Xenopus tropicalis: one gene and its partners. The protein of the gene in region 3 interacts with the protein of the main gene of each other region in a pairwise test. Links are inferred from orthologs where the notes say so. Each region holds a gene or a part of one and is shown on either strand. Other genes may lie near its edges.

Evidence for each region.
Region 1: the proteins of trim2 (region 3) and lrrc8e interact in binary tests that used the Homo sapiens proteins (3 or more experiments, as listed by UniProt). The two-hybrid records come from large-scale screens. The link is inferred for Xenopus tropicalis from reciprocal best matches to the Homo sapiens genes TRIM2 and LRRC8E.
Region 2: the proteins of trim2 (region 3) and cib3 interact in binary tests that used the Homo sapiens proteins (3 or more experiments, as listed by UniProt). The two-hybrid records come from large-scale screens. The link is inferred for Xenopus tropicalis from reciprocal best matches to the Homo sapiens genes TRIM2 and CIB3.
Region 4: the proteins of trim2 (region 3) and tnik interact in a two-hybrid assay, tested with the Homo sapiens proteins (2 studies listed by BioGRID and IntAct). The link is inferred for Xenopus tropicalis from reciprocal best matches to the Homo sapiens genes TRIM2 and TNIK.

What each region holds. Positions count from the first base shown.
Region 1 is NC_030679.2:134,109,070-134,116,096, forward strand, and holds part of lrrc8e (volume-regulated anion channel subunit LRRC8E), read right to left. Parts: intron 4,978-7,027; exon of another isoform or gene 4,892-4,977; intron 4,197-4,891; 5' UTR 4,180-4,196; coding exon 4,042-4,179; intron 2,136-4,041; coding exon 1-2,135. UniProt on the Homo sapiens protein: Non-essential component of the volume-regulated anion channel (VRAC, also named VSOAC channel), an anion channel required to maintain a constant cell volume in response to extracellular or intracellular osmotic changes.
Region 2 is NC_030677.2:104,258,778-104,266,562, forward strand, and holds the start of cib3 (calcium and integrin-binding family member 3), read left to right. Parts: upstream 1-3,665; 5' UTR 3,666-3,953; coding exon 3,954-4,004; intron 4,005-7,086; coding exon 7,087-7,121; intron 7,122-7,785. UniProt on the Homo sapiens protein: Acts a an auxiliary subunit of the sensory mechanoelectrical transduction (MET) channel in hair cells. Plays a role in regulating hair cell MET channel localization and function.
Region 3 is NC_030677.2:55,132,703-55,139,989, reverse strand, and holds part of trim2 (tripartite motif-containing protein 2), read left to right. Parts: intron 1-1,300; coding exon 1,301-1,468; intron 1,469-1,553; coding exon 1,554-1,734; intron 1,735-2,352; coding exon 2,353-2,423; intron 2,424-5,446; coding exon 5,447-5,587; intron 5,588-5,930; coding exon 5,931-6,083; 3' UTR 6,084-7,287. UniProt on the Homo sapiens protein: UBE2D1-dependent E3 ubiquitin-protein ligase that mediates the ubiquitination of NEFL and of phosphorylated BCL2L11. Plays a neuroprotective function. May play a role in neuronal rapid ischemic tolerance.
Region 4 is NC_030681.2:111,486,740-111,494,660, forward strand, and holds the start of tnik (TRAF2 and NCK-interacting protein kinase), read left to right. Parts: upstream 1-2,593; 5' UTR 2,594-3,080; coding exon 3,081-3,137; intron 3,138-7,921. UniProt on the Homo sapiens protein: Serine/threonine kinase that acts as an essential activator of the Wnt signaling pathway. Recruited to promoters of Wnt target genes and required to activate their expression. May act by phosphorylating TCF4/TCF7L2.

The DNA of each region.
Region 1 (7,027 bases), on a different chromosome or scaffold from region 3:
ACCAGGCAAACTAAGGATCCCACCTTCGGGGACAGATTTCCCAATCTGTTTTGCCCTAGTTTTAAAGTTTTTAGTTTTTGGCAGAAAAACAACTCATTGGGAAGATCCTCCAAAAAGTTTCCACTTAATCCAAGGTACTGAAGTAGCTGCAACACCCCGATCTCTGGAGGAAGCTCCCGGATTTCATTGTTAGACAGGTCAAGGTGTCTGAGCTTGTTACAGAGGAACAGCTGGGAGGGAATCACCAGAATTTTGTTGCGATTTAAGGACAACTCCTCAAGACCCTTTAGTTTACGGATATGCTCCGGGATGTAGGCAATCTGGTTGTGCCACAAACGAAGAACGCTGAGCTTCCGACAGTGTTGTAAGCTTATGATCTCCTCTATTGTGTGAAGGGTGTTTTCCTTTAGGTCCAACACCTGTAAGTTAGTGAGGCTAAAAACTGCATGGGGAATACGTTCCAGTTCGCAGCGTACCAGTTCAAGTTCTTTGACGAGAGCGAGCCTCTTCAGAGCATTAAGGGTCAGGAGTTTCGTTCCATCGTTGTGAATGCTAAATTTTTGCAAGTGGCCGGCCACATCTGCAACAGTAGCTGGGATTTTAGAAAGGTTACTCTTTATTGTAAGCACCTTCAGACTCTTCAATTCCCTTAGACTTTCTAAAGCTGGGTTTTTAGATAAGTCCTGTGACAGCCAGCCAAAGAGGTGGAGCTCCTCTAAAGCACGAAGACTGAAGATCCACAAAGGTATCTCTTTAATGTCGTCAAACTTTACCTGCAGTATCCGAAGGTGGTCCCGAAGGTAAGCCAAGGAGGCATGCTGAACTTTGGCTGTGCAGTTGATAAGGGACAGCTCCTCCAGCCTCACCAGCTTAGATACCAATGGTGGGATAAGAGCCTCATTAACCATCTCCAACTTAAGTGACTCCATCTCTGCAACCTCAAAGACTGTATCTGGCAAGCCTGGGAGTTTGAAGAGATGCAGCTCAAGTCGACCTTCTGGTGTATGCTGAAGTTTTTGTCTCAGTTTGTCTGCTGGCCACTCATGGTTGAGATTCAGTTGCCGCAGCCTGCTTTCACTCACCTCCGATAGAAATACGGCAAACCTTTTGGAGTAGAGAGAGTCATACTGATCAACCAGATGTAGCACAAAGGCAAAGTCATTCTTCACATCAGGAATATCCCCTATTCCAGTCTCTTCTCTAACTGACCGGAAGGAATACTCCTTTAGAGGGCGTCGGAAGAGCCAGTACAGAGTGTAGAGGCAAGTGAGGCCATAGACACCCAAAAAGCACAAGTAGGTTATAGCTAATTTGGAAAAAAGGTGGGCCTTAGTGTGGTTGCAACAGAAACTATTGTAGCCAGTCATATCCTCTGTATGAACACTGCAGGGAACAATGAAGTGAATCTTTCCCACCAAAACTGCATTGTAGATTGTTATCAGCACAAATTTACACACTTTTAGCACAGTCTGACGCATGTACATCGAGTAGAGCAAGTCACCCTCTTCCACATGATGCCGAAACTTCTTCACTTTCTCAAACAGGGCTTTGGCTTGTTCCCCCTCTTTCTTGTCCAATACACTAGCCGAAGAAGTCTCAGCCACTAGTTTTTCTGCAATTGGTAGGTCAGCAGTAGCAGGGCTGCCCTCCTCAAAGTTTGGTTTAGAGAGCTCTCGATCGATGCTCCTCTCCTGACTGGGTTTCTCCTGACTAGACTCTCCCGAGACTTCAGACAGGGCTCGTGTAGTCCAAGGGGAGTCAAAGCACTTGCCGAGTATGGAAATGAAATGTTCTATTTTGGAACTGGTGCCTGGGAACTTGAACCAGAAGTTCCCACAGATGATAAAGATCAAGGTGTGAATGACCACTAAATATGGAAAATATTTGGCATACCAGTGCAACGCGGTCTCATAACACATCTGATTAATGAAGCTGTACTGCTGGAGGTCTAGGTTGTTGCGTAGACCACTCATCTCCCGAGGAGGACTTGAAGTAGCAGTTGGTGGTGGAATAGTTGTTTCAAGGTCGCTATCATTGGATGGGGGCGACTGTTGGTCATACTCCTGACATGTTATTTGGGAAACAACATCAGCAGAAGTGTGGTTGGGGAGGCAAATGATCTTGTCTTGAGTAACCTGGGATGTAAACATAGAACAGCTTCAGCAAGGGAACAAAATGGCACCAAAGCAACAGAAAATGAACAATAAATGCAAAAGTGAAGCTGAGAATTGACTGGTTGGAATAAAATTGACAATAGGATGTGGATTAAAGAAAACAAACTTTCTATAAGAAAATGATCTCGAGCAGTAAACTGTAAAAAGAAATCCTAGGCATACATGGGCAGGTCATGGGCAGGCACATGGTGGTCAATCAAAATGTAGTTATACGGGGTAAGTTGAATGATGGTAGGCCAGTCTATCACTTTGGCATATTGTGCCACACTAAAGTACATAGAATGGTGGTAGGCCAGTCCATCACTTTGGCATATTGTGCCACACTAAAGTACGTAGAATGGTGGTAGGCCAGTCTATCACTTTGGCCTTTCATGCCACAGTATGGTACGCAGAATGATGGTAGGCCAGTCCATCACTTTGGCATATCATGCCACAGTAGAGTATGTAGAATGATGGTAGGCCAGGCTATCACTTTGGCATATTGTGCCACAGTAGGGTACGTAGAATGATGGTAGTCCTGTCTATCTCTTCGGCATATCCCGACACCGTGTTTTTAAAACTTAGGACTAAAACAGTGGTTCTTAAAAGCAATACTGTTGGCATCTTTTGTACCCCTTTTATGAATACCATTTTCCCGTGGACATAAGGTGATCATACACGCTGCAACCTCACCAAACAAGCTGATCTGCTCCCAATATGCCCATCTAAGGTGGGCAATATCAGGCTAATGTGATTGTTTGGCCCTAGCAAAGGACTGCATCAACGAGCCGATGCGGTCACCAATCTGATTGGAAAATCAAACTTGCCCAAACAATATCAGGGCAATTTTTGGCCAGTTATCGGTCGGGTAGGCCCATACACAGGCAAATAAGCGGTCTAAAGGACCTGAATTGGCAGCTTAAATCTGCCCGTGTATGGCCACATTTAAACTTCAGAATTTTTTTTCAGACCTTGTGTCTGTGTTATTCTGTAGTAAAACCGGTGTGTAAAGCTATACAGATGCCCCAGGTTGAAATTCTATGCAGAAGTGTCGCCCCCAGGACCCTGTGTGCTGGGTTAGTACTTTGTTTTCCTTAAAATGTTAAATTTTCTGTTATAGTACTGAATATACAGACTTGATCCTCGCAGAGCACAGCAGACCTGGTCCGGAGGATGGCACTTCTGCAGAATGTGAATGAACCTGTCAAATAAAGGGTAACTGATCCTGCTCTTGAGAGAGGCACTTAAATATGATTGAATTTGAAGTCCAGCAAGAACAACAGTGACACCACCCTGCTCTATGTGCAGAAGGAGATAGTAAACAACACATCAGGAAAATAGTGATAATACAAACTTTTGACATAAGCTCATTCAATTGGCTTATATAAAAAAAGAACTTTTCTGCCAAAAAAAAATGAATATTTTAGCCTTTTTTCAGCTGAAATCTGATCTGTGCGTGGTGATAGAGTACCTGGAAGTGTATTCTAAAGACTGGAGCAGAAGGCAGTGGATTTCTTTGTCGGTATAAAAATGTAACGTGTGGCAAAAGCCTCAATATCCATCAGTTGAAAATGGGGCAAAGTGAGGGAGGGGTTGGATTACACTGTGAGCCTAAGGAGGGTTGGAAAACAGTTTGTACGTAACATGGTTTCCTTCCAATCTGTGGAAATCTACAGGGAAACCCTGTCTGTATTCAAAATCCACTCTGTACAGAGTATAAAGGGTAAATAGCAAGGTCTGCATTATTTCCTGATGTATTCATAAGCTGCTGAGGGCAGGGCCTCCGTGTAACCGGAATCAGAAGATACACAAAAGATGGGAGAACAGCACAAAATAGCAAAATAAAGAAAAGAATGGAAAGATTAAGAATGGAATATGAAATTCCCACCTGCAAGGTACAGCCAAAGACCCCGATCATGAGCATGGCGTAAGTGATATATTCAGCCAGGACATCCCACCAGGGCTTGAGGACTTTAAAGGCTGGCTGCTGCTCGGTGAATTGCTTGAACTCTGCAACGGGAATCATTCTGGCAGCCTAGAGAGCTGGAACAAAGAGAGAGAATTACGTTTATTTGCACAATCTTCGCTCTTAAAGAGATACTAACACCAAAAATGAATCTTACTTACATGTGCCATAACATTGTCTTTGCATGCTATTTACTCTTTTGCCTTAACTCTTTTGCCCAATGCTTTTACATTATCAGATCCCCATGTTCCTCTATGAGGGGGCGGCCATATTTGTCGGTTAGCATTAGAAGCTGTAACTGACAGGCTGAGAAGGGACAGTCAGGTTGGCAAGTAACAATTACTTACAAAAGCAGCCCTATCAGTGAAAAACAATCTACATGACCTATAAGTAACTTTTAATGTACATTAAAATTTTGAAGAGCAGTGTTTTAGTGTCAGTATAACCCTGCTCCATTTGTGACACTACCGTTTGTCTTCCCCAACGCAACATTACACATCCCAACAAAATCTCAATATATATATTCTTCACATCTGCGCTCAAGCAACTAAACTAAACTCATTCTCTCCAGTTTTATACATCAACTCTGCACCCATTGAAATAGACTTTGTCCTCTCTGACTCCAACCGTTAGTTCTGCACTCCATCCCTTCAGCCTTATCACATCTACACTCACCCAGACAGGCATAACCATCCTCTCGCACTCTACACATTGCCTTTGCACTAATGCACATTACCCAGCAGTCTCTCTATTTAAAATTAACTCTCCAGACCTTCTCCAGACCTTTTCCAGGTTACTTCTCCTGCTTTCTCTCTCATTCTTTCTTTGTGGACAGAGAATAGAAGCTACGCTCTCCTCTGAGAAGCCACAGAGTTTGTATAGTATTTGTTCCTACAGAGGCTGCTCGGTAACATGTTATCTTTCCCCTGCAGGCCTACTCTCTTATCAGGTATAGGCAGGACCCCCTCCCCTTCATCAACACTGCACGGAGATGCACTGAGCAATGGGCTAACAATGTTATCAGGATAACAAATAGGAATAACTCTACAAGTTCCATCCATGTCTTCAGGCCTTTATCAAGATATTAAGCAGCTACAGGTATGGGACCTGTTATCTAGAAGGCTCGGGACCTGGGGGTATTTCCGTAATTTGGGTCTCCATATCTTAAGGCTACTTATATATCATTGAAACCAATAGGATTGTTTTGCCTCCAGTAATTTTTATAGGGGGCTGTTCTGCCCCCAATAAGGGGTAATTATATCTTAGTTGGGATCAAGTACAGGTACTGTTTTATTATTACAGAGAAAAGGGATTCATTTAACCATTAAATAAACCCAATAGGGCTGTTCTGCCCCCAATAAGGGGTAATTATATCTTGGTTGGGATCAAGTACAGGTACTGTTTTATTATTACAGAGAAAAGGGATTCATTTAACCATTAAATAACCCAATAGGGCTGTTCTGCCCCAATAAGGGGTAATTATATCTTAGTTGGGATCAAGTACAGGTACTGTTTTATTATTACAGAGAAAAGGGAATCATTTAACCATTAAATAAACCCAATAGGGCTGTTCTGCCCCCAATAAGGGGTAATTATATCTTAGTTGGGATCAAGTACAGGTACTGTTTTATTATTACAGAGAAAAGGGAATCATTTAACCATTAAATAAACCCAATAGGGCTGTTCTGCCCCCAATAAGGGGTAATTATATCTTAGTTGGGATCAAGTACAGGTACTGTTTTATTATTACAGAGAAAAGGGAATCATTTAACCATTAAATAAACCCAATAGGGCTGTTCTGCCCCCAATAAGGGGTAATTATATCTTAGTTGGGATCAAGTACAGGTACTGTTTTATTATTACAGAGAAAAGGGAATCATTTAACCATTAAATAAACCCAATAGGGCTGTTCTGCCCCAATAAGGGGTAATTATATCTTAGTTGGGATCAAGTAAAGGTACTGTTTTATTATTAGAGAGAAAAAGAAAATTATTTTTAAAATAAGTATTATAATAGAATTATTTGGTTGTAATGGAGTCTATGAGAGATGGCCTTCAAGTAATTTACAAACTTTAAATCTCGTTGTTTACTATGTGACAATGACAATAAAGATATATTCTATTCTATTCTATTCTTTCTGGATAATAAATCCCATGTAGCTGCATTATAACAACCTTTTTAGTAGCGTTACAATTGGTCTTTTTGTCGGCTAATGGCATGCAGGGCATTTTGGCCATTACTGCATTCACAGTAAAGCAGTGGCAGGCAAAGGGGCAAAACACCAATGTCCGCCTGTTGTCACTTCAAATGTTATTAAATGGACCATTGAGTGTGTTGAGTCTGTTGGCCATCAAAACACTCCATGTGCCATCACCATTATTTATATAGCGGCAGCAAGGTACACAGTGCTTCCCATTCATTCACAACAAACTGGGGTCTTACAATCATTTAACAAACAAGGGGTTAAAGAGTTTTCAGGGTCACTGACCCCAGCAACCCAAGAACTGATTCGCTGTGAGGCCACCATTATAGTTTTATTACAATACAGTTATACTGTAAGCAATACCTTTTGAACTTTTAGACTGTAAGCTCTTTTGGGCGGGGCCCTCTTTACCTCTTGTGTTGGTTACTGATTGTTTTTGCATGTATTCTACATGTTTAATGTAGACACCTGTTTATGGTACAGCGCTGTGGAATAGGTTTGTGCTTTATAAATTTGTATAATAATAATTTCTAAGTTTCTCTGACACAGGACAACTTTTGTTGGCTCAGAAATAAAAACTATATATGAGGTTGTATCCATAGCTTATCATTGGCAAACGTTAATTGTCAGACGGGTACAATTATATTATTCTACCTGCTTATCTGACAATTCAGCTCTTGGCGTTAGTGAAGTGGTAGGTAAAAC
Region 2 (7,785 bases), about 49 Mb from region 3:
TATGTAGAACTCATGTGCATGTGCAAAGTGTTAAAAGGATGCTGACACCAAATACAAAATATGCAGTATTATTGGCATCAAGGTTCAGGTATGGGATCCCTTATCCGGAAACCCATTATCCTGAAAGCTCCGAATTACGGAAAGCCCGTCTCCCATAGACTCCATTTTAATTAAATAATACAGAATTTTAAAACTGATTTCCTTTTTCTCTGTAGTAATAAAACAGTACTTTGTAATTGATCCCAACTAAGTTATAAATAATCCTTATTAGATGCAATACAATCCTATTGGGTTTAATTAATGTTTTATTGATTTTTTAGTAGACTTAAGGTATGGAGATCCAAATTACAGAAAGATCCCTTATCCGGAAAACCCCAGGTCCCAAGCATTCTGGATAACAGGTCCCATGCCTGTATTACATAACCAAAGTATACACCTCTGTTTATAGAATCTGCAATGCCATAGTTACAAAATGCCTAGATATATTTTGTAACAACCAAATTATATTTATTTTGTCTCCCATGTGAATAACCTGTGTTGCGTCTTCTGTCTACACATAGATGTCTAATGGAAACAGCAAAGGTGAAACAGCTAAAATAAATAAACAGCTCAGATTCTGTGGTGAGAATGGAATCCTTTGTACTTTACAGAGTTATATTAATGCACTTACCAGCACAAAGCTGGCAACTCTTCAACTTGTGTTTACATTTACAAAATACAAAAAGGCAAAGTTACTATTAATGCAATCTGTTAATTACAAAAAAATATATGACAGACATGTTATCTGGTACTGTACTGTAATGTGCAAAACAAGGGCAAAGCAACACTATACCATCACTGCAGTTATCTATATGAATCTGATCTAGTCTAAAGCTGGCCATATACATGTAAAGAATGATCTTTCCAACTACAAACATTCCTGGAAAGATTTTTGGTTTGTACCACTAATGTAATGAGCAAAATCCACCAGATGTGAGGTAAGAAACAAAAGGACTGTATGGATGTTGTATTAAGATTCAAAACACACTTACCAATATTAATGTTTTTTACAAATTGCCTTAATATAATGTTTAACTAACAATCCAAATTATATCCATAAGACAAAGATATTGGTTGGGATCATCAGACTTACAAACATGTACCAAACTACCCAAACATGAAGCCTTTTTCCACTGGCCAGTACTTTTAAAAAAATGTACTTCCTGGAGTAAAAAAAAACGTAACAGAGCAGTGTTCCACCATTTTCCCAGGCATCTTTAGAATGTTATTGTTGCTGACATGAAACAGAGTTGATTCTTACTGGACAGTATGACTGAACATAATTTAGAACTTTATCATTCATTTGCCATTTTAGCATTATTTTCTCTCAGTCATCTTTTATACCCCTTATGGAGCTGGTTATCTTACTTTAAATTTACAGGTATTTTGTATGTGTTGTCTTTTTATAGTTTGCTTTAAATATTTTTTCCTTTGCCTCTACAATGAAAAAAGGAGCAAAGAAATAAAATCAAACAAGCAAAACTAATATGTTTGTTTTAGCGCCAGTATGTATTTCATACGATATGTGGACAGTCTGATGACTGATGAACAAACTGCTTGATTTTTAATGATGTACACCAGTAACAGTACAGTACTTATAGTGCATACCCCCCAACTGTCCCGCTTTTAATAGCGCATCCCGCTGTCCCGGATAGTTCCATGAATGTCCCGCATTTCGGGACAGCGGGATGTGCTGGTTGGAGAGGCTCCTTGTGGCGGCGACAGGCCCTTTTATAAAGTTGCACCCCGTGCGTATTGACATCACACGTATGCAGGGGGCCCAAACTTATAAAAGGGCCTGTCGCCGCTGCATAAGGAGCAGGAGCCGCTGAAGAAGAAGGAGCATCTATGGGGGGGAAGGGAACTGTCTATGGGGGCACTGTCTATGGGGGGTACTGTCTATGGGGTCAACTGGGGGCACTGTCTATGGGGTCAATTGTGTATGGGGGTAGTTTCTATAGAGGCACTGTGTATGGGGGCTACTGTCTATGGGGTCAATTGTGGGCACTTTCTATAGGGGGTACTGTCTATGGGGGCAATTGGGGGCACTGTGTATGGGGGGTACTGTCTGTTGGGCCTTTGGGGGCACTGTGTATGGGGGGAAAAACTGGTACATAGTTATAACTCACTTATAACTGACTGCCTTCTCACTATATTTGTATTTTATATTTAGGTGTTGCTATATTGTTTTCCTTAGGTAGTACAGTATGAGGGTATAGCAAATTTTGCGTCTGATCCCACCATTTCAACTATATAAAAGGAGTATTTTTTGAAAAAAAATGGGGTGTGGTAATTGGGGCGTGATCACAAAAGTGGGCATGGTCAAAAAATTGCGCGCTAAATCTTTTTGTCCCTCTTTTCATTTTTCAAATGTTGGGAGGTATGATAGTATATTAGTGTACTAAATACTCTGGGTGTGTAAACTGTGCATTTTTGGTAGGCCAGTGGTGCTCTTAGCATTTTTTTGTCTGGAGTAGATATGCCAGTAGAGAAAAGGCTGATCTGCTCAAAACTGCCCTGGTGCAAATATGCATCTTGACAATTATATACTGTGCTGCTAACATACTTTATTTTGCTTAGTTTATATTTTCTGGGATGTGGTGTAGGGTGTTATTCTGTTTGAGAGTTTATTATGGATTGCAGTCAGTGTTGAGCCTAAAGAAATTGCAATTGGGCCCCCATCTGCAATGCACCCCACTAAATGAGCACCCTACCTGCCATCCCTATAGCGATAATGCATGCTGCTGGGCCCTGTGGGACAGGCCCTGCTGCATTTATACCCCCTGCCCCAGCTGTAGTCACACCACTAATTCCAGCATGGCTTTTACTGAAATAAGTTCACTGTATTCAAGTGGACTGTGATTCTAACCTGGAGGGGCAGATTTATGATTGTGCAAGCCTTTTTTCCCCTGAAGCCCTGTGTGAGTTCCTTAACCCACATGGGGCTTTTTATGATTGCTGGAGCCGAAAGGCTTGAGCAATCATAAATCTGCCCCATAGTATTCAGACAAACTAAATCTCACCCCTTAAAATAGCAGTTCAGTGTAAAAATGAAACTGGGTAAAATAGATAGATTGCGCAAAATAAAAAATGTTTTCAACATAGTTCGGAAAAAATGTAATCTTTAAAGGCAACCAATCAGTAATTTGATGGGGGAGTTGCATATGGGACATAACTGTTTAGTTAATTAGTTGAATCTGACCAGCGTGCTCACAAACTAACTGAACAGTTTACTGTCCCATGTGCCCCCCCCTAAAGTCATTGACTAACTAAGAAGTTAGAGAGCTAAAAGGAGGAAGTAGTGTTCTGGCTATTATGTTAGACATCTATTGACTCCAGCCTTTATAGATTACATTTTTGTCTAACTAACAATATTAGAAATATTTTTTATCCATTTTACCCAGTATATTCAGTCAAACCTAAAGATAAATTATGTGGTGCATCCCTACTGGGTATAGCAATGTAGGAGACAAATTGCCTCTGAAACTGCTTTTAGACATGTACCAGCCCCTAAATGCTTTGACAAACATATTTTTTTCCAGTAGTACTTTCTCTTCATGTGTCACTGAACTTGAAAAAGGCAATGTCCTCCTTTAGCAATAGTCATGTTAGATGGTGTAATATGAGTTTATGTTGGACATGCAACAGATGGTGTAATTATAGTACTTTATGCGTATGCTCCTGAATGATGGTGGAAGCCTTATGCGCATGAGTTCTTTATACACATCAAAGATTTGATGAAATGCTCCTATTATGATCCTGAAAAGTAGGAAGAATAAGATAGTGACATCCGATCTTTCCCTGTGCCTGACCCCTGCTGTTGCGGCTTTTAATATCTCAATATTCAGGGACAGTATAAAAACAGAACAACAGAAGAATGGTAAGGGGATTTGGATTAGGAGCTCCCTAAAGTCATGGGGAATAAGCAAACTATTTTCACTGCTGAACAGCTTGATACATACCAAGTAAGTTTCTTACTCTTACTTTCTAAAACTAGAAGGTTTTTGTTTCATGTGTTTGGTAACTTAAGTATTAGTTCTTGCATAAGGCAAAGGTTTTCCTTAGATGCTAAATGGCGCTATTTATATATATAAACCAAGATTTATCTATTTTCCAATAGTAATTTTTTTTATGTATTTTAAATGCCACACCACAACAGAGAGACTGTGATATATCATTGTTAATATTTATATTAAATATTGTTTTTTTCCCATCTTTATACATTAATCAGACATGTTCACAAGTGTACTATAAAGATTCAAGTCCACTTGTGATTTTCTAGGTTAGAAAATGGTATATACAGTGCTTAGCATTTAAGTAGCAGCTCCATCATTTTAGGATTTTTAAAAATATACTATTCTTTATTTTTATAACCTCAACATATTCCTGCCGCACTTTACAGAGTTTGTTATTTATTTACATATGCTCCATTGCAGTTTTTCAAAGGAAAAGTTGAAAGCATCAGTATACCAGCTTTAGGTTTCTTGTCCCTGTTTTACAAAAAACTGAAATATTGAAAGCTGGCATAATTCAAGTATAGCCTTAGAAGACCAAAACACTGCATACCTACATGTAAAACCTATGTATCATTTTAGGCTGATTACACATGGAGCATTTTCTTAGCGAACATAGTTCAGCCAGCAGAGAAGTGCCCAAACTGCCCTAGGTGCATTCCATTATTTGTAATAATGACCCCCTGACACTGCCAATACTGGAGGTTTTTTAACCTAAAATGCTCTAGGGTGCATTTTAAGAATGAAAATGGCCAGTACTAGAGTAGGTGGGAGATTTCTCAGTAGGCAGAAATATGGATATAAAGCACTCTGTTTGCCAAGAGCCTTAAAAATCACTCATTTATACTTTTGCTAAATGGAGCCGTAGATTAGAACTCAAATATGTGCTGTATAGATATATCTTATTGGATAGAAAAACTACTTTAGGACAAAAAATGATTGAAGTGTAACGATTACAACAACAAAAATTACTATTTCTTCAATAGGGATGGCAGTTTAGAATGTTAAAAATACAGGGGGTTGTGGTAGCACTCCAAGTCCAATTATCGAACAGATAAAGTGTAAGGGAAGTGTTACTGATCTGACCAATGCTGCTCAGTACTATTTTCATTATACTTTGATCACAGCCCCCTGTATCTATATATTTCAGTGGAGTTATTTTGCAAGAACGAAGACCTAATTTGCAGGTGGTTGTAGCACCCCACCCAGTATGTAAAAGGCAGTCTTAAAATTTTCATTGTTTGGCCAAAAATCAATTCTTTAAAAACACAAATGCATTTACAAAGAATAAATTTCTAGTAAAACATAAAGACCAGGGAATATATATTAATCAATTCCTTTATTAGAATCTAGTCTGCATGAAGTCAATAATTAAGTGATTTCCAACATAACTAGATATGCATTGTTGAAAATGCTAGTCATCCACTGATTAGGTAGCAAATATAAAGGGCAAAGTAAGATTTACATGCAAACCTAGTTAAGTAATTCTGATTTCACATTACAATACTATGCTAGTCCTGTGGCCTGGTTTTCTTGGTTTCTGATACCCCTTCAATTCGTATACCCATTACAGTCACAAAGTCTTACCTCATTCAGTCTTGAGACCTAACCTAATATAATGAACCTTCCTGATCATGTCCTCTAGGCTTGCCTCTAAAGGGTAAACCCTTTCCTGGTACAGTTCTGGTCTTTTGCCTAACCCAGTCATTCAGCCTTACCTTTATGATTTCTAAAGCTTTATTGGTTTCAGCCCAGTAAGTAGCCTTACCTTGCCTTTTGCAGTCCTTCGGCACTTGTAGCTTCATCTTTTACACCCCTATGGTCCTGCCAGTCCTTCAGCCTTCAGTCCCTATCTGCTTTCCAGAGCCTTATCTGTTCCATTTCTGTAACCTTATTTGTTTCACTCCTGCTGTCTTAGCCATTTCAGTCCTGCAACCTTAAAGGGGACCTAGTTGAGTAAAATAAACTTGATTTACACTGTATGAATTATTTAAATGTTGTTTTTTTCAGTCTTGGAATTGACAATCATAGCAGGTAGGCAGGCACTATTTTGTGGGTACTGTTATTATAGAGATACTGACACCAGAAATGCAACCTTTTTTTATATTTATCATAACATTGTCTTTGCATGCTATTTATAATGTTGTACAGCTTTTTATGTCTGGGTGACATGACCCCTTTAACCCTGTAGCCTTACCTATCCTGGTCCTATTAGTTTCAGCCCTGCAACCTAAACTCAATTTCAGTTAAATAAGCAACCTGTTTAGGGCATGTTATTTTGTCTGTGAAGTCATGAAGCCTTACTTTTTCCAGTTCAGTGGTTATGCATATTCCAATCAACCTGCATTTCCAGTTACATAGCCTTACCCAGTACTGTTGTCTCTTTACAGTTCCATGGTACAGTCTCTTTAGACTCTGCAGTTTTATCTGTTTTTCCAGTCTTGCAACCTTGTCTAGCCAGTAGTGTAAGCTCATTAATATACAGGCCTTACTATGTTTGGTGTCTGGAACCTCAGTTAGTCACAATATTTAAAGCATATCAAAATTAGTAATTAGACATATTAGTCTTCTTTAATTGATGAAAGTTGATGATTTAAATTATCCTGCTATCATGTCTGGTCACTGCAATACTATATATATATATATATATATATATATATATTAGCATGTAGAACACAGAGCACTCATGGGACTTAATTATGTGCGAAAATGTAATGGTGTAAGTTAAAGGTCCTATGAGTGCTCTGTGTTCTACATGCTGATATTGTTTTTTGAGGCAGCACCTAGGCCTTTCTCGCCTTTTTTTGGGTGAGTGCACTGCCTTTCAAACTATATATATAATTTGAACACCCTGATCCTTTTATACTCATTTTGCCTTAGTTTACTCAAGGGTCAATTTTGAATTCGAACCTTTTAGGTGCTGTTCAAATTAACAAGCTTAAATTACTTATAGATTTGATTTACTGTGTCTGGCTTTGTAGACTGTTTGGGGGGACAGAAAAAAAGTGATAATTTTTATTTGTTTTAATTGTAGGATTGCACCTTCTTTACAAGAAAGGAAATACTCCGGTAAGCAAGGCCAATTACTGTTACAAATAATATTTGTATTAAATTATACATATTCTTTAAAGTATGTAATGTGCACACCAGCAGCATTACTACTACCATAACTACCCTGCAACCACAGGACAGCCCAGGTCAGAGGTGGGCTTGGGGTGAGAAGTTTGCTGTATGGTTTCAACTGGAGCTCCTTGTCCACTCACTGCACAAACTGCCTGCTGGTGGATACTGATGGTGTATAATTGGATGGGGGGCCATGGGAAACTTTTCTGTAGGCGGCCCTGCTCCCTATCATTATGCCACTGATGCACGCCAGCTACCATACAGCTAGTGAAACTGATGCAAACAAAAAAATCTAAATTAGCTTAGAAAAAAGCAAGCTTTGTATCTAATTCCCCCTAATGTCCATCTTAATGTACTGGTCTACCTACATGATACACTAACAGAGATTTCTGTATATTTACTATATGTGCAAATATCCAGACAACCACTGCCAAACTTCAAAATGTCTCTGATATGGAGGCTATGAAAGATAAATCCATTTAAGGGGGTGGGGGGTACATTTTGTGGTAAACTGCAGCACTCATCACTAAAAAATTTCCATTTGTTTCGGCCTCAATGAAATGAAAAATTGGGGGTAAAACTTGTGGGGATTCTGATGCAAGGTCTATGG
Region 3 (7,287 bases):
TTAGAATATTAGCACTTATAGGTCCTTATGGACTCATTTACCTCCCCATTATTGCATTGGGATTGAATAATAATATTTGATTAGGTGAGCCAAAAGTGTGGCATTTTTACTAAACAATAGGAGGACTATTGGGCAATATGCTTTTTAAATTTTGACTTGCATTCTCCTTTAAGGCTCAACTCAGTTCTCAATAGGGAAACATTTTTGGTTTGTGCATGCACTTTTTTGCTTAGTTTGTGCTTTGCACAGATGGTACAAAACAAGTAGAAATCCTTTCACCGCTACTAATAAATCACAACTATTACAGTAAGGCACAACAGAGTAAGGATACACTTAAAAAAATCTGTAGTGCCAGTTCTGTGGCACATTGGGTATGATATTTTTAATTGCTCAGGGAGTCCCAGTTCTGGTCTTAAACCCAGCGAAGCAGATTGACACAATTCAGCTTCTCACACCAGTTATTAAAACATGTAACTTTCCACAGGATCAACTATCCTTTTGCCAAATCCATGATTTGACTCGCAGGTCATCTTCAATATACATATATTCATAGATAATTCACTAAATGTTTCAAACTTGACTCAAAATATTTTAATGAATATACAGGTATGGCATCCTATATCTGGAAACCTGTTACCCAGAAAGCTCCAAATTACAGCAAGGCCATCTCCCATAAACTCCATTATAAGCAAATAGTTGAAATTGTAAAAATGATTTTGTTTTGCTCTGTTGTTGATTTTGTTTTGCTCTGTTGTAATAAAACATTTGCCCCAACTAAGATATTAATAATCCTTATTGGAGCCAACACAATCCTATTGGGTATATTTAATGTTTATTTTTAGTAGACTTAAGGAGATTCAAATTACAGAAAAAAATGCCAGTTTCCAAGCATTCTGGATAATACAGTAGATCCGATACCTGTATTTGAAATGTAATTTCTTTTTTGTGTAATTTTTTTAATTATAAATAAAACAAACAAAAATGTAATTAATAAAAATAAAAAGCCTTCTACATATGGGTGCCTGTATTAAACACAGCCCTGTGGGTAACCAGTGATAGCATGCATTTAGGGAGCATGTGTGCATTAACGATGACCTGCGAGTGCCAAGTCATACATGTGGGTAGTAATTCCCATTGTTTCACTTTATTAGTTAAAAGCAATGTTCCCTCTAAGCTGTGTGCCTGTGCATTCATATACACAAATATTGAGACAATAAATTTGTGGCGCGCATAAAGAATTTTTTGTGTGAAAACATAAGCGTAAACTTCTTCTAATTTGTTGCCAACTTTTCTTTGTTAGATATTTTCAAATGATGGACAGTTTAAAAGCCGCTTCGGTATTCGAGGCAGGTCCCCAGGTCAGCTACAGCGACCAACAGGAGTAGCTGTACATCCAAGTGGTGACATCATCATTGCAGACTATGATAACAAGTGGGTCAGCATCTTCTCAGCAGATGGCAAATTTAAGGTATTTGTTTTTAGTATTTATATGTGTGGCTTGGCTTTCCACTTTGCTATTGCTTTTAACACTTTTTAAATATCTTTTTCAAAAGACCAAAATTGGATCGGGAAAACTTATGGGACCCAAAGGTGTTTCTGTTGATCGCAATGGCCACATCATTGTGGTGGACAACAAAGCCTGCTGTGTGTTTATTTTCCAGCCAAATGGAAAAATTGTAACCAGGTTTGGTAGCCGAGGAAATGGGGACAAACAGTTTGCAGGTACACTCGATGGTAATATTTAGACCACCTTTGTTGTGTGTTTCTAATATCTTGCATGCTGTGTAGGAATAATTTAGCATGTTGGAATGACAATTATGCATGTCTATATAATTACATGGTAGAGTGTCTGCATCTGGAACAGCATACCAGTCAATATTATTAACTTATAATTTAGTTGACACAGGGCAACCTAATAGTTCGTAATGTGCCCCATGCACTATGACTGATTTTAACCAAATTTATAAAAGAGATGGAGTCGCAAAAGTGTTATAGATCCTCGTGCCACATAAAGAAACCTCTGAAGACTTAAGTAGTTATAGATAAGAAACTAGTGTGAAAATAGTAATTGTATGTTTGGCTATTGGTACACTTTTGGAATCGGCATATTTCTTTAAAAAAAACCCAAAAAATACACCACAGTAGATTTAAAGTGCGTAATTTTATTAAATTAGTATATATGTCATTGTGTTATTATACAGCTAGATTTAAGTCTCTGGTACAAAAAAGTGGAAACGTAAAAATACTTGCATATTGTTATCATTTATATTGCCCACAAAGAGTCCGTTTAACATAAATGCTGCACATTTGGGGGGTTTTAATAAGGTATACCTTTCTTGTTGTGTTTTATAGGTCCTCATTTTGCAGCTGTCAACAGTAATAATGAAATAATTGTGACGGACTTTCATAACCACTCAGTTAAGGTAATGTAACCTGGGGAACGGGGGGAGCACTAACAGACTAGGGAATGTTTGATAACTTTGTTTGACATAGAGCTTTTATTCAGAATTTTTTTTCTTGAAAATGAGTGGACGATTTTGATAAAGTTTTATAGCTGTGGCGGTTTGCCTACTGAATTTGAGTACAAGGATGTGTTCTCTCTTTGTGGAGACTTGTTGTTTTTGCTAAATATTGCTAAATTGCTAAATCTGCACTCTTACGGTGATGCATACCATTCCCTTTTATCCAGAAGGCCATGTTGATTTTGCCATTTATAACACAGTAGAATGGCTGTTGGAAGTTTTCATGGAAGGCTGTCGCCAATCAGCCTTGAGCAGTGAAAAAAGATTTGCGTAATAAAACAAAAGAAAATAATAAATATGATAATTACACAAAAGTAAATTATTTTAAAGTTACTTGTAAATGTTCTTGCTAATAAAAATGCCATAACTATCTTGGTATTTATGTTCTATACATGCTTAGTAAAACAGTGTATAAACAGTGTATAAAAAGTCATCTCTCCTCTTTGCATAACTTCAGTTTCCCCAATGCCTTGCATACTGTATGATTAACAGAATTGTGAAGAAGTACAGAAGGCATTTTGCAAAGTTAAGTCTTGGCTGGAGGAAACCTGTCTTCTGCTAGATTGTCAGGAGAAGCACTATAGTAGTAAATAACAGGCAGATACTGCCTTCAGTTTTTTTAATTATGCAGAAAGTAATATATTTCATTGCTAGTCTTTTAAACAATACTAAAACAAGACGTATATGTAATACATTCTTAAAGGAGAAGGAAAGCTACAGATGCAGGTGATTCCCTAATAGTTTAGTCAAAATTGTGCAAGATACAATGCTATATTTATTCTGTAGAATGCTTTACAAAGTAAACAGCCCTAAAAGCTCTCTCTGTTTTAAAGGAGAAGGAAAGGCTAGTAAAGAGTTAATCTCAAAATGCAGGCATACCTTCAGTTATCTCAATAGTGCCCTTAAGTCTCCCCATATTTCTCTAATTCAGATGATCAGAAGCCAAACAGTAAGGAAAAACGCTGAGCTGGGTAGAGAAGATTCCCATAATGCATCGCTCATCCCCAGACTCGGAGACTTAGAACTGTAGGCAGCGCATGCGCAGAAACAGGAGGCTCCCCCTAGCATCTGCAGCGGCAGCATGAGACACAGGTGCTGGTAGGGGGGAGAGGCAAGGGGGACACGAGCGGCGGTGCTGGTAGGGGGGAGAGGCAAGGGGGACAAGCGGCGGTGCTGGTAGGGGGGAGAGGCAAGGGGGACAAGCGGCGGTGCTGGTAGGGGGGAGAGGCAAGTGGGACACGAGTGGCGGTGCTGGTAGGGGGGAGAGGCAAGTGGGACACGAGCGGCGGTGCTGGTAGGGGGGAGAGGCAAGGGGGACACGAGCGGCGGTGCTGGTAGGGGGGAGAGGCAAGGGGGACAAGCGGCGGTGCTGGTAGGGGGGAGAGGCAAGGGGGACAAGCGGCGGTGCTGGTAGGGGGAGAGGCAAGTGGGACACGAGTGGCGGTGCTGGTAGGGGGGAGAGGCAAGGGGGACAAGCGACGGTGCTGGTAGGGGGGAGAGGCAAGGGGGACAAGCGACGGTGCTGGTAGGGGGAGAGGCAAGGGGGACAAGCGACGGTGCTGGTAGGGGGAGAGGCAAGGGGGACACGAGCGGCGGTGCTGGTAGGGGGGAGAGGCAAGGGGGACAAGCAACGGTGCTGGTAGGGGGGAGAGGCAAGGGGGACAAGCGGCGGTGCTGGTAAGGGGGAGAGGCAAGGGGGACAAGCGGCGGTGCTGGTAGGGGGGAGAGGCAAGGGGGACACAAGCGGCGGTGCTGGTAGGGGGGAGAGGCAAGGGGGACAAGCGGCGGTGCTGGTAGGGAGGAGAGGCAAGGGGGACAAGCGGCGGTGCTGGTAAGGGGGAGAGGCAAGGGGGACAAGCGGCGGTGCTGGTAGGGGGAGAGGCAAGGGGGACACGAGCGGCGGTGCTGGTTAGGGGGGAGAGGCAAGGGGGACAAGCGGCGGTGCTGGTAGGGGGGAGAGGCAAGGGGGACAAGCGGCGGTGCTGGTAGGGGGGAGAGGCAAGGGGGACACGAGCGGCGGTGCTGGTAGGGGGGAGAGGCAAGGGGGACAAGCGGCGGTGCTGGTAGGGGGGAGAGGCAAGGGGGACACGAGCGGCGGTGCTGGTAGGGGGGAGAGGCAAGGGGGACATGAGCGGCGGTGCTGGTAGGGGGGAGAGGCAAGGGGAATGCAGCTCCAGACAGTTGCTGAGGAGAGAGAGGCACAGTGAACGTAGAAGCCATGTTAAAGATGGCGGCGCCGTTCACTGAAACAAGTATGTAGAATGTAGCAGTGTATCTCTGTAAATCTTTCATTAGGCAAGCTAGAAATATAGCGTTTTTACACAGCAATAGTAGTACTATTTAATAGTGTGGTTAATAGATTTTGATGTTCCTTCTCCTTTAAGACAGAAACTGGCATTTTAGCTTGATGTGGTGTCACTTCCCTCTCCTGTCTGTGTCTCTCTTAGCTCTTGACTTAGATTACAGCAGGGAGGGGAGAGGGAGAGGGGAGCAAACTGTGCAGACAGGCTGCCTTGAGCATGAAGGTTTAACTGAGAGAGGACTAAGAACAGTATCACAGTGAGTGTTACTGGGTGTATTTACATAGACCGTTATAATAAAGCTTACATGGTTTTAACCTTTCCCTCTCTTTTAGAAAATGAGGGGAAATTTCAATCTATAAATGAAACCCTGTAACTAACTTTTTATATACTGTACTCACATTTTCATTTAAACAATAAATGACCAGTAACATAACACACAGTTGTATATGCATAATACATAAATGCATTTTTTCACATTCAGTATTTCATACCAGAAGTCTTACTAAGTCAATACGTTAATAACTGATGATGATTGTTTGGTTACTGGACCAGAGCAAAATCTCCTCTTTTAATACATAACCACCAATATTTTAACTTTTAGTTTATTTATGATATTTGCAGGTATTCAACCAAGACGGTGAGTTCATATTAAAGTTTGGCTCAAATGGAGAGGGCAATGGCCAGTTCAATGCTCCAACTGGAGTTGCAGTGGATTCCAATGGAAATATCATTGTAGCTGACTGGGGGAACAGCAGGATACAGGTAACGTGCACTTACTCGCTGCACCTTGAGCAGTGGCCTTTGAGGTATGCACCTTGCACTGGAATAGAAATGGCAGCCAGGTACTAAACATCATAGGCAGGTGGTCATTACATGGCACCACAACACATTGGTGCTTCCTAGCTTGAATGTGTCATTTCAAGTGGATGTTCACGTACCACATCCTGCCTGCCCCTTATTCTTACAAAATAGTATGGTAATGTTGGTTAATTCTAATGTGAATGATTAATCTCCCAAGTATTAATGATAATTTCTCATATATGTATTTGTTTGTGTGTGTATGTATATATAATATTATAACCACTGCGTTCATTATTGTCTTTAGGTTTTTGATGGAAGTGGGTCGTTTTTATCTTATATTAATACATCTGCTGACCCACTCTATGGGCCTCAGGGACTTTCCCTGACATCGGATGGTCATGTGGTTGTAGCAGACTCGGGAAACCATTGCTTCAAAGTTTATCGATACCTGCAGTAGCTAAGGGGCCATAGCTTTATGGTAAAACTGCATTGCATTTGAACCAGCACCTTCATGCAAGATTGATTGGGAAAAAAATCATGCTTCTTAAGAAGTGAACTCCAAAAGACTTTGATTTTATTTAACCACGTTTACGGTCTGGTGATGACTTGCTTTTGTTTAAAGTGTTTCATCGCTATGAATTCAAAGTGGGCTTGTAAACGTACAAGGGGATGGCATTAACATGTTAGAGGAACCTTAACACAAAAATGTAAATGACTCATCTTGTGCACTTAGGTCTTAGACCTTTTAGAATATATACTCATGGAATGGCGACTCCATATGCGAGTTTCCAAATAATTATTAACCAGTTGTTATACATATCTCTCCAATGCTGAAATCTGAAAGTCTTCTAATCCATGTATATTGGTAGCTGTTGTGTTATAAAGTAGATTGTACAACTGTACATTAATATAGCATTGCAAAGAACAGTGTAATCAGTACAACATTTTTAAGCTGTTGTCATGTTTGTAATTATTACACAAATCTAAGCAGCCTTATAAGGCCATGTGCATTTCTATTTATTCTGTGGGAAACTGATATAATGAGCATACATTCAGTACATATTGTTTCATTTCATGCATTCTGACAATATTATTTTTTTATAAAACAGAAAAAATACAAGTTTCATATTAAAACGTATTCATAGTTTTTTTTTTTTACTTCTAATTTCCCATGAGGTCATGCTTTATTAATAACTTACTATAGGGAAGCAAAAAGGGAATCCGAACAATATTGCATGCTCCCTTCCTAATAAGACATCTTAACATATAAACATTGTTCTTAATATAATGAAAGCAGAAAGACAACGTAGGCTGCCTTGAAATGGATAAATAGCCATATGAAAATTGGGTTGGGTGAGTTGCATCTTAATAGCACTTTCCAACAATTTGAGTACAACAGTAATTCTGATAATCTGATTGAAATAATTTGAATCTGAAAAAATAGAAATTATCAAGGTGGGAGGATCGTATCTAAAATTTTTTTTCCCCCTGTGCACACCTTTTGCCTTACATCTTTTTGGTAGTGAAAAGAAACATAAAGGTGAACTGGTAAATGTATGGTTTTAGGCTATAGAATTGCCTGAAATCAGGGAAAGGTGGATCTGTTGGGAAAAGCTTTGTCTGTTTTAAAGTAAGATTTTGATAAAATAAACATTTTTCAG
Region 4 (7,921 bases), on a different chromosome or scaffold from region 3:
TGGACACCAGAAGGTCCTTGCAGTTAAACTATAGACAGATTTATTGTCAGAGACAAGTAGCAATGCAGGGTTATACTCACAATGTAGATACAGATGTTAAATGATAGTAGTACTCTGAGGACAACAAGAGAGGATGCACACCGGTTTATCCCACCTCCTTTTAGAGTCTGGGCAGGGTAAATGCACTTGGTCAGATTGACACCCCTTTGGAAGCAGTCAGGATAGATACCTCAGTCCTCAGGTTGATAGCCCCTAGCTTTAAGAGTCCCTAGCTTTAAGAGTCCTACAGCTGACTCTGGATCAGGGTTTAAGTACTGCCTGTCATCTATGTCTTAACCGTGGCCCTATGCTTTGGCAACATTGCCTGTATGGAGGGATACTTCCAGCTACTTTCCTTGGTGGAGCTGAAACTGTGCTTGCTTCCATCCCTCTCTATCTCACTCTCCTAGAGAATGCTCTTAAAAGAGTAACTATCTAACTGGTCCTTGTGCACGGGGTCCCTGTCCCCGACTTCTCTAGAGTATAAGATGGTAACCCTAGGGCAATAAGACTTTACTGGGGCCTTGTTCTGATCCCAGGCTAGTGACCTGTTCCTGAGACACAGAGGAAGCCACACACTCCTGCTAAGCACTATTTTGGAGTGCAAGGGGTGTGATCAACCAAATAAAGCAATAAGGTATAATAGCAAAGGATAAACTAGATACATGGGTCTTTTCCCAGTAACAGCATAAACTAAGGAAGTAGTAGGGTTTAAAGCAATAGGGGCAGATTAACCCTATGGGTCCCTACAAGTGCTTTTGATGGGTGAGGATAAGTAGATAGATTACTGTATGAGAACTAGGGGGCCTCACAGTGGCTTACAGCTGTGGCACTGAATGATAGAGGTTTGGGCAATGGGCAAACTGCAGTAAGCAGATACTACACAAATATCTTGTTCTTCGGGTGCTGCAAATTAACATACTCTTGCTCTGTATTTCCACATGCTTTATTGGTTTCTTCTTCTCAAAATACTTACATATAAGCCCTATATGCATGTTCTCTGGTTCTAAGCCTATCTATGACCCTAACTACATACAAACATGCTGGGACCTACTCTCATAGCACTAAATCTTCTGTAGCTCCTAACAGTCCAGCTCCTGCATGCTTCATATGTAACTCCGCCTAGACCAGTGATCCCCAACCAGTGGCTGGTGAGCAACATGATTCTCACCAACCCCTTGGATGTTGCTCTCAGTGCCTGCAAACCAGGTAGTTATTTTTGAATTTCTGACTTGGCAAGTTTAGGTTGAATAAAAAAAGATTTACTACCAAATAAAGCCCCCTGTAACTGATAGTGTGCATAGAGACTACCTAATAGCCAATCTTGGCCTTTATTTTGTCTTCTTACATTTGACTGTGGCTCACGAGTAAGAAAGGTTGGGGAGCCCTGCACTAGACACTCAATCAGCACTAACTCACTATAGCCTTTTTGGAGTCTTTATTTTGCCCTATTCAGCTTGCTGCTTTCTGACTGGCTTATCCCAACAAATACTATTTTTGGATTCTAAGCTAATATACTCCTAACAGCATACTTTGATACTAGTTTTTCAAATGCTCTGCATGGTTCCCTATTCCACCATTTGTTAATTACAGCTCAACTAAATTTTCCCAGTATGCCCTATTTAGGGCCATGGCAGACGGGGAGATTAGTTGGCCGCGACAAATCTCCTCGAAATACCAACCCAACGGCAAGAATGTAAATCGCCGGTGGGATCACATACGCAGCACGGGGTTTCGGGGCCGCGTATGCGATTTACATTCTCGCTGGTGGGATGGCATTTCGGGGAGATTAGTCGCCCGCGACAAGGGAGATTTGTCGCGGGTGACTAATCTCCCCGTCTGCCACGGTTTAGAGCTGTGACACACTGGGAGATTAGTCGCGTCTGGAATGCCATCCCACCGACTAGAATGTAAATCGCCGGTGGGATGGCATACACGGCGCCGCAATTTGCTGAAGTTTCCTCTCAAGGAAACTTCGGCAAACCGCGGAGCTGCGCATGCCATCCCACCGGCGATTTACATTCTAGGATGACATTCGACCAATCTCCCCGTGTGTCATGGCCCTTAGGGTTTCTCCAAGGCAAGTTATATTGTTCTATCCCTGCCTGCCATCCTTACCACTGCTAGGCTGATCTTTTATATTGTTATAGGCCAGCATGCCTTGCCCAGGGTTTCTGGGCTACTCTCCATATTGCCCAGCCCCCCCCCCCCCATGCCATTCTTACAGCTCCTTTGCGCCTACATATACCGGCCAATCCCAGAATGCCCTGCTTATAACCAGCTACTCTTCATATTGCCTTTCCATCCAGATCTGGTGACCTAGTACCGAGATTAAGGTTTGTTCCTTTTCCCACTGCATTGTACCGTCCTCCGGAATACGCTGGCGCTATATAAATAATAATACTCCAAGTACTGCAATACCTTACTGCTAGCTACCTGCTCTATACCGGACACACAGCTCCCCCACCCCCCAGGCAAGGCTGTTTAGCTATATGCACCTGCTGCAGTATAAGGAGCCCCTCTCACACAGCGCTCCCACACGCTCTATAAGATAGCGCTCCCACACGCTCTATAAGATAGCGCTCCCACACGCTCTATAAGATAGCGCTCCCACACGCTCTATAAGATAGCGCTCCCACACGCTCTATAAGATAGCGCTCCCACACGCTCTATAAGATAACGCTCCTCGACCGTGAGAGGAAAAGGCGGCGCTGGGCAGCACCATCTCTCCGGACGGATCCACCTAGTTTGGCGTGTGGCTCCTCCCAGGAAGCAGTGACAGGCTTGTTTCAGCAGCTCCTCTCCATCCCTCCGCTCTGTGAGTGTGAGAGTGTCTTATTATTCCTCTCAATGCAGCTGCCATACAGGCAGAGCCCAAGCATGTCCTACTGCAAGCCGCCCCCGCCTCCTCTCTCATAGCACCGCAAGCCGCACACCTTCTGGGCTCGGGCGGGACCGCCGCATGCTGGGCTCGGCTCTGGGAGAAGCAGCAAGGTGGGAAGAACGGGGAGCTCTGTGCAATATACAAGAGAAAAGGAAACATGGCGAGCGACTCCCCGGCTCGTAGCTTGGATGAGATAGATCTGTCGGCGCTGAGGGTGAGTGATGTCTCTGGGGGGTTATTGTGGGAAGCTGCTGCTGCTGCTGCGGGGGATCCGGGCTGATAGGCTCTTTATTGTGCCAGTCCTAGGGGCGAGATGGAGAGCTGTCTATTCAGCCCGCACTGTGCTGCTCACTGATATGTGATTATTATACACAATAATGCTCATTCATCTGGTTTGCTGCTGTCAGTGCTCTCCTATTGTGAATGGAATAGCCATAGCAGAACAGTGTGTGAATAACAGGCACAAAGCCACTCATCATTATATCGCATTTGGTGAGCCACTTACACATAAAGATGTACATAGAAACCGAGTATATTCAGCCTAAAACGCAATATTAGCATTATGCATTCATGTGATCATCTCAGGAGTGGGGCGGACTATTAACAAGTAGGGGAAGGGGTCAATTTCTATGTATATCTGCTGAATGTGCACATAGAGGCTGTTGGGCAAATCAATTCATTGCTGTATTGAATGGTCGATGGCTAAACATCACAGCAATGCTTGCCTACCGCTGCGCTGCCTTCATTTCCCATTATCAGTGTCTGCTTTTGCCTCAGTCAGTACAGTGCAATAGGCTGTGGGGGATGCTGGAAGTTGTAGTTCAGCCGGCACTGGAGGGCCCCAGGTACATCACTGCTACAAGGCACATCAGGGTTTCTCATTGCTTCATGTCTTTATATAATGCCATTCTTCTGTTTTGTATGTATGCTATTAAATTTTGAAAGACACCGCCATGTATAAAGGCCACACTGACAAAGGCCACATTGTTGTGGGGAGCAATTTAGTATTCTCATTGGTGATTTATATGGAAGATTGGATTTAGCCTAGAGATCCAGTGCAAAAGGAGAGAATGCTCTTTGAATTCTACCACCAATCAAGCCCTTCTTGCAGTAGAGTTCCTAAGACAATAAGGTTGATGGCATAGTAACCGGACAATTCTCAGGTCAATAGGCTACTTTAATAATGGTAGATAATCGTAGATTTTTGTCGCTGCTATGTGCCAACTCTTACATTGGGAGCATATTTGGTTTAAATTGACTCCTTCCTCATTCCACTGTTTGTTGAGGAGCTATCTGTTTTCATTATCCACTGTACAACATACCAGCCATTGTTAGTTAAAGGGTGCCATGTTCGCTTTGGAAAAAGCATGTATATATACAAGTGGAATGCACGTAAGATAGCAGCAGTTTCTGGTCTGCAGGCACTTGCAACTCAGGCTTCCTAAAATGACCTGTGCTAATGAGGGCTGTGCTGTGCTAGCTGTCATGTTCACATGGTGTCTGTAAGAAACAGCATTCTTTGTATGGCTGGATGTGCTAGACTATTGTACAGTCAGCGAGATTAAGGATGGACATGGCTCGTAGGGCTGTTTAAATTGAGAGTCTTATGTCTGCTTCAGTGCTCGTGCTTGCTGGTTTTATCTCAAGCCTAAACAGAAATATAAAGTCAGTGGACCCATCATATCATTTGAATTAAACATATCTTTCTTAAATAATATCCTGCTTGTGTATCTGACTCTGCAAGTTTAAATAAATCCTTCAGGCTTTAGATGGATGCAATCTCTATTATGTTTTCAAGCTGTTTGTATTATGAATGTATGGGGCAAATCCACAAAGCATTAACCCTTTTATGTCTAAGGCAGCACGCCTTATGCTGTAGTTGTTTCAATCCAATTTTTGCTATTCTTAGAGGAAAACAATTTATGATCGTAGTGGAAGGTCAGAAACCATATTGATGGTATGAAGGTTTCCCAGTCATTTCACAGTGCCTGGATGGGGAATCAATAGTGCATTGGCTGCCTGAGTGGAAAGGATAGCAGCGCTTAGAGGTTTTTCTGGATTGCCATTAGTTCTTTTCCCTGCTGGCTTACCTTGAGATTCCTGTCAAGGGTCAAGTCTGTTGCAGAAACAACCTTGGGCACTGGACCTGTCCAAACAGAGCCTGACGAGGACAGCTTGTTTTATTTCTGCAGCGGGCCTGTCAAATGTTTGATGCTGTGAAGGCAGCCAAGGGCTCCAGAGTCACACACTCCCTTCAACTGCTTTTTAGCCACAATTTGCCACCCTTTATTGGACATAGCTGAATTTATGATGGTTCTCTTAAACATATTATTAAGGTATATTTTAGTATTTTATGCAATCCTTAATTTGGATTTAAATGAGCAATGTGCTGTTCTTGGCATTCAACAAAAAGCCAGCAGGTAGCATTCTGTATTATTTCACCCAGCACATATTGTGCTATTTAGCATTTCAAATCAATGCTTTGAAATCACAGGCTTGATTGAGGACTGTTAACCCATTTGCCACCAAAAAGGGCTGCTTGTGTCTTATAAGGAAAATTCAATTTCAGCAGAAGAAATTTGTTATACAGTATATACTATCAGTTTTGTCATGATGTTAAAACAATATATTTTGTCCCTGTTAGCTTGCGGTTGTGCCCTACTTTCAGTGTAAGCAATGCATATTTCCACAACGCCATTGAAGCTTGTTTTCCATTTATTTTGTGTGTGTGTATTCAACAGCTACTGTTGTTCATTTAGTCTAGTTGTTTATAAGTAGGCAAGGCAACTTCTGATTATAGAATTTGGGGGGTGACATTGTCAGTGTTTTATAAGACAGTCATTTAGGGTGATTATATGATCATACACTCCATATCTATCATAAGTTATGCAGTACAGGTATAGGACCCATTATCCAAAATGCTCGGGACCAAGGGTATTCCGGATAAGGGGTCTTTCTGTAATTTGGATCTCCATACCTTAAGTCTACTAAAAAATCATTAAACCATTAATTAAACTCTATAGGATTGTTTTGCATCCAATAAGGATTATTTATATCTTAGTTTGGATCAATTACAAAGTATTGTTTTATTACTACAGAGAAAAAGCAAATCAGTTTTAAAATTTGTAATTATTTGATTAAAATGGAGTCTATGGGAGACAGGCTTTCTGGATAATGGGTTTCTGGATAAGGGATCCCATACCTGTACTTGGTCACCATTTCTATTATGTTGTTTTCTGCGCTTACTTGTGGACATTGTTGATGGGACTGTGCAGAGTTTTTGTCCTTGACGTGATACAATGTGGCCAGTAAAGCTTTACCTTATGATGAAGTGCAGCACCCTTACTAAAACTTTTGAGTTTTTAGTAGGAGCATGTTCATTCTCTAACCCTTTTTGTCTAGTGACATTTATTAAGAAGCCAATATGAAAAACAATATCATACTTGCACTCTGCCAATAGATCGAAGTCTGTATTTGTCCCTCTTTCTCAAATGTGACAAGGATGTTTATTTACGGCTTCAAGTGCGGTTTTGATGCAAACTGATGGCAACTTAAGGCTAAAATGTTCTAGGCATGGGGCTATTAGTGTGTGACTTTTTGGGTGCAAGTTTTTTGTGCATTTAATGTGGCTGTGTTCTCCAGTGTCCCTCGGCATCCATAAGCACATTTTCGCTTGATACACTTGATATCTGGCCTAAAATTGGGCAGATCTCGAGCGGGCAGGTTTGATTTTTCCCATTGAATTAGGGGCCACATCAATGAGCCGATTCAATCCAACAGGGGTGACCTAGCTAAACAAGCAGATTGCACCGTATTAAACCACCTTTAGATTTATATGGTAAAGTGTGATTTGACCCATGTGTCTGCTAAAGAAACACTATAAAAGGAGTAGTGGTTCATGCAGATTGTACAGTAGGCCTTTGGAAATTCTCCTAGGGGCTCTGTTTCTGTATGCTGTGACATTTAAATATGTATCTTACACTTATTTATGATACCTGCTTTGAACTTTTTTTTTTGCAAAATGCTATAGTTTCACTAGGTCTTTATTCATGTAAAAAAAAAAATTATGTCATTTTATATTTTATCTTAGTATGGTAACCAGACATCATACATATTCCATCTGGGCAACAGACCAGTATTTCATAAGTCATTTTAATTCCATTGCGCTTTTAACATTTCTGTAAAATAGCTGTTAAAAATAGATTGTATTGAGTTCTGGAGATGTGCCACCAATGTATGGGAAAAAGCTTGTGCTGGCCAGGGATGCACCTGACTCAGCCTCTCTCATTGATCAGTGGAGGAACAGTGCCTTGACTTCCTAAAACACACTGTTGCAATCTTTTTTTTATTTAATACCTGGTTAAATATGGAAGGAAAGAATTTTGAAACCCACAGAGCATGGATCCACCAACCTGCTGGGTCCCTGAAATCATCCAGCAACAGAGAAACACAGCCACTTAAATGTTGTCAGCTTCAGTATTATTGGCAACTTTTTATTTTTTGTTATTTATTTGTGTTTTATTTGTTGTTTATTTTAATTTTAAATAAAGGTATTTTGATCAGTAAACATTTTTGAAAAGACGATTGATTGAGGAGTATTTACTGTTTTATATCCTGGTTAGATAATAAGACCTCACACAATAACAGAAGCCATGCCTAAATTTTTAGTTCTTTATGATCAGCTCTTATTCATTTGGATGATTAATTAATTAAAAAAAATGTCCCTAAAAGCAGAGTAGTGATTGACCATATACCATAAAGAGTTGGTCACAGAAGAGCTTTAGCGTTAATATATTATTTGATATCTATGAGCAGTAGCCATTATAAACAGTGTGATGCAAAATATTCAGCCCATGACCAATTTTTTTTCTTTTTCTGACCAATTCTTTTTCTGGGGGGGGATAAGTATATACCAGTTTTGCTCACTATTTTAAAGTGGTTTTAATTCACTATTCTAGGTAGGTATATTTGCGCCAGGTTGCTTCAGCTGATTGGATG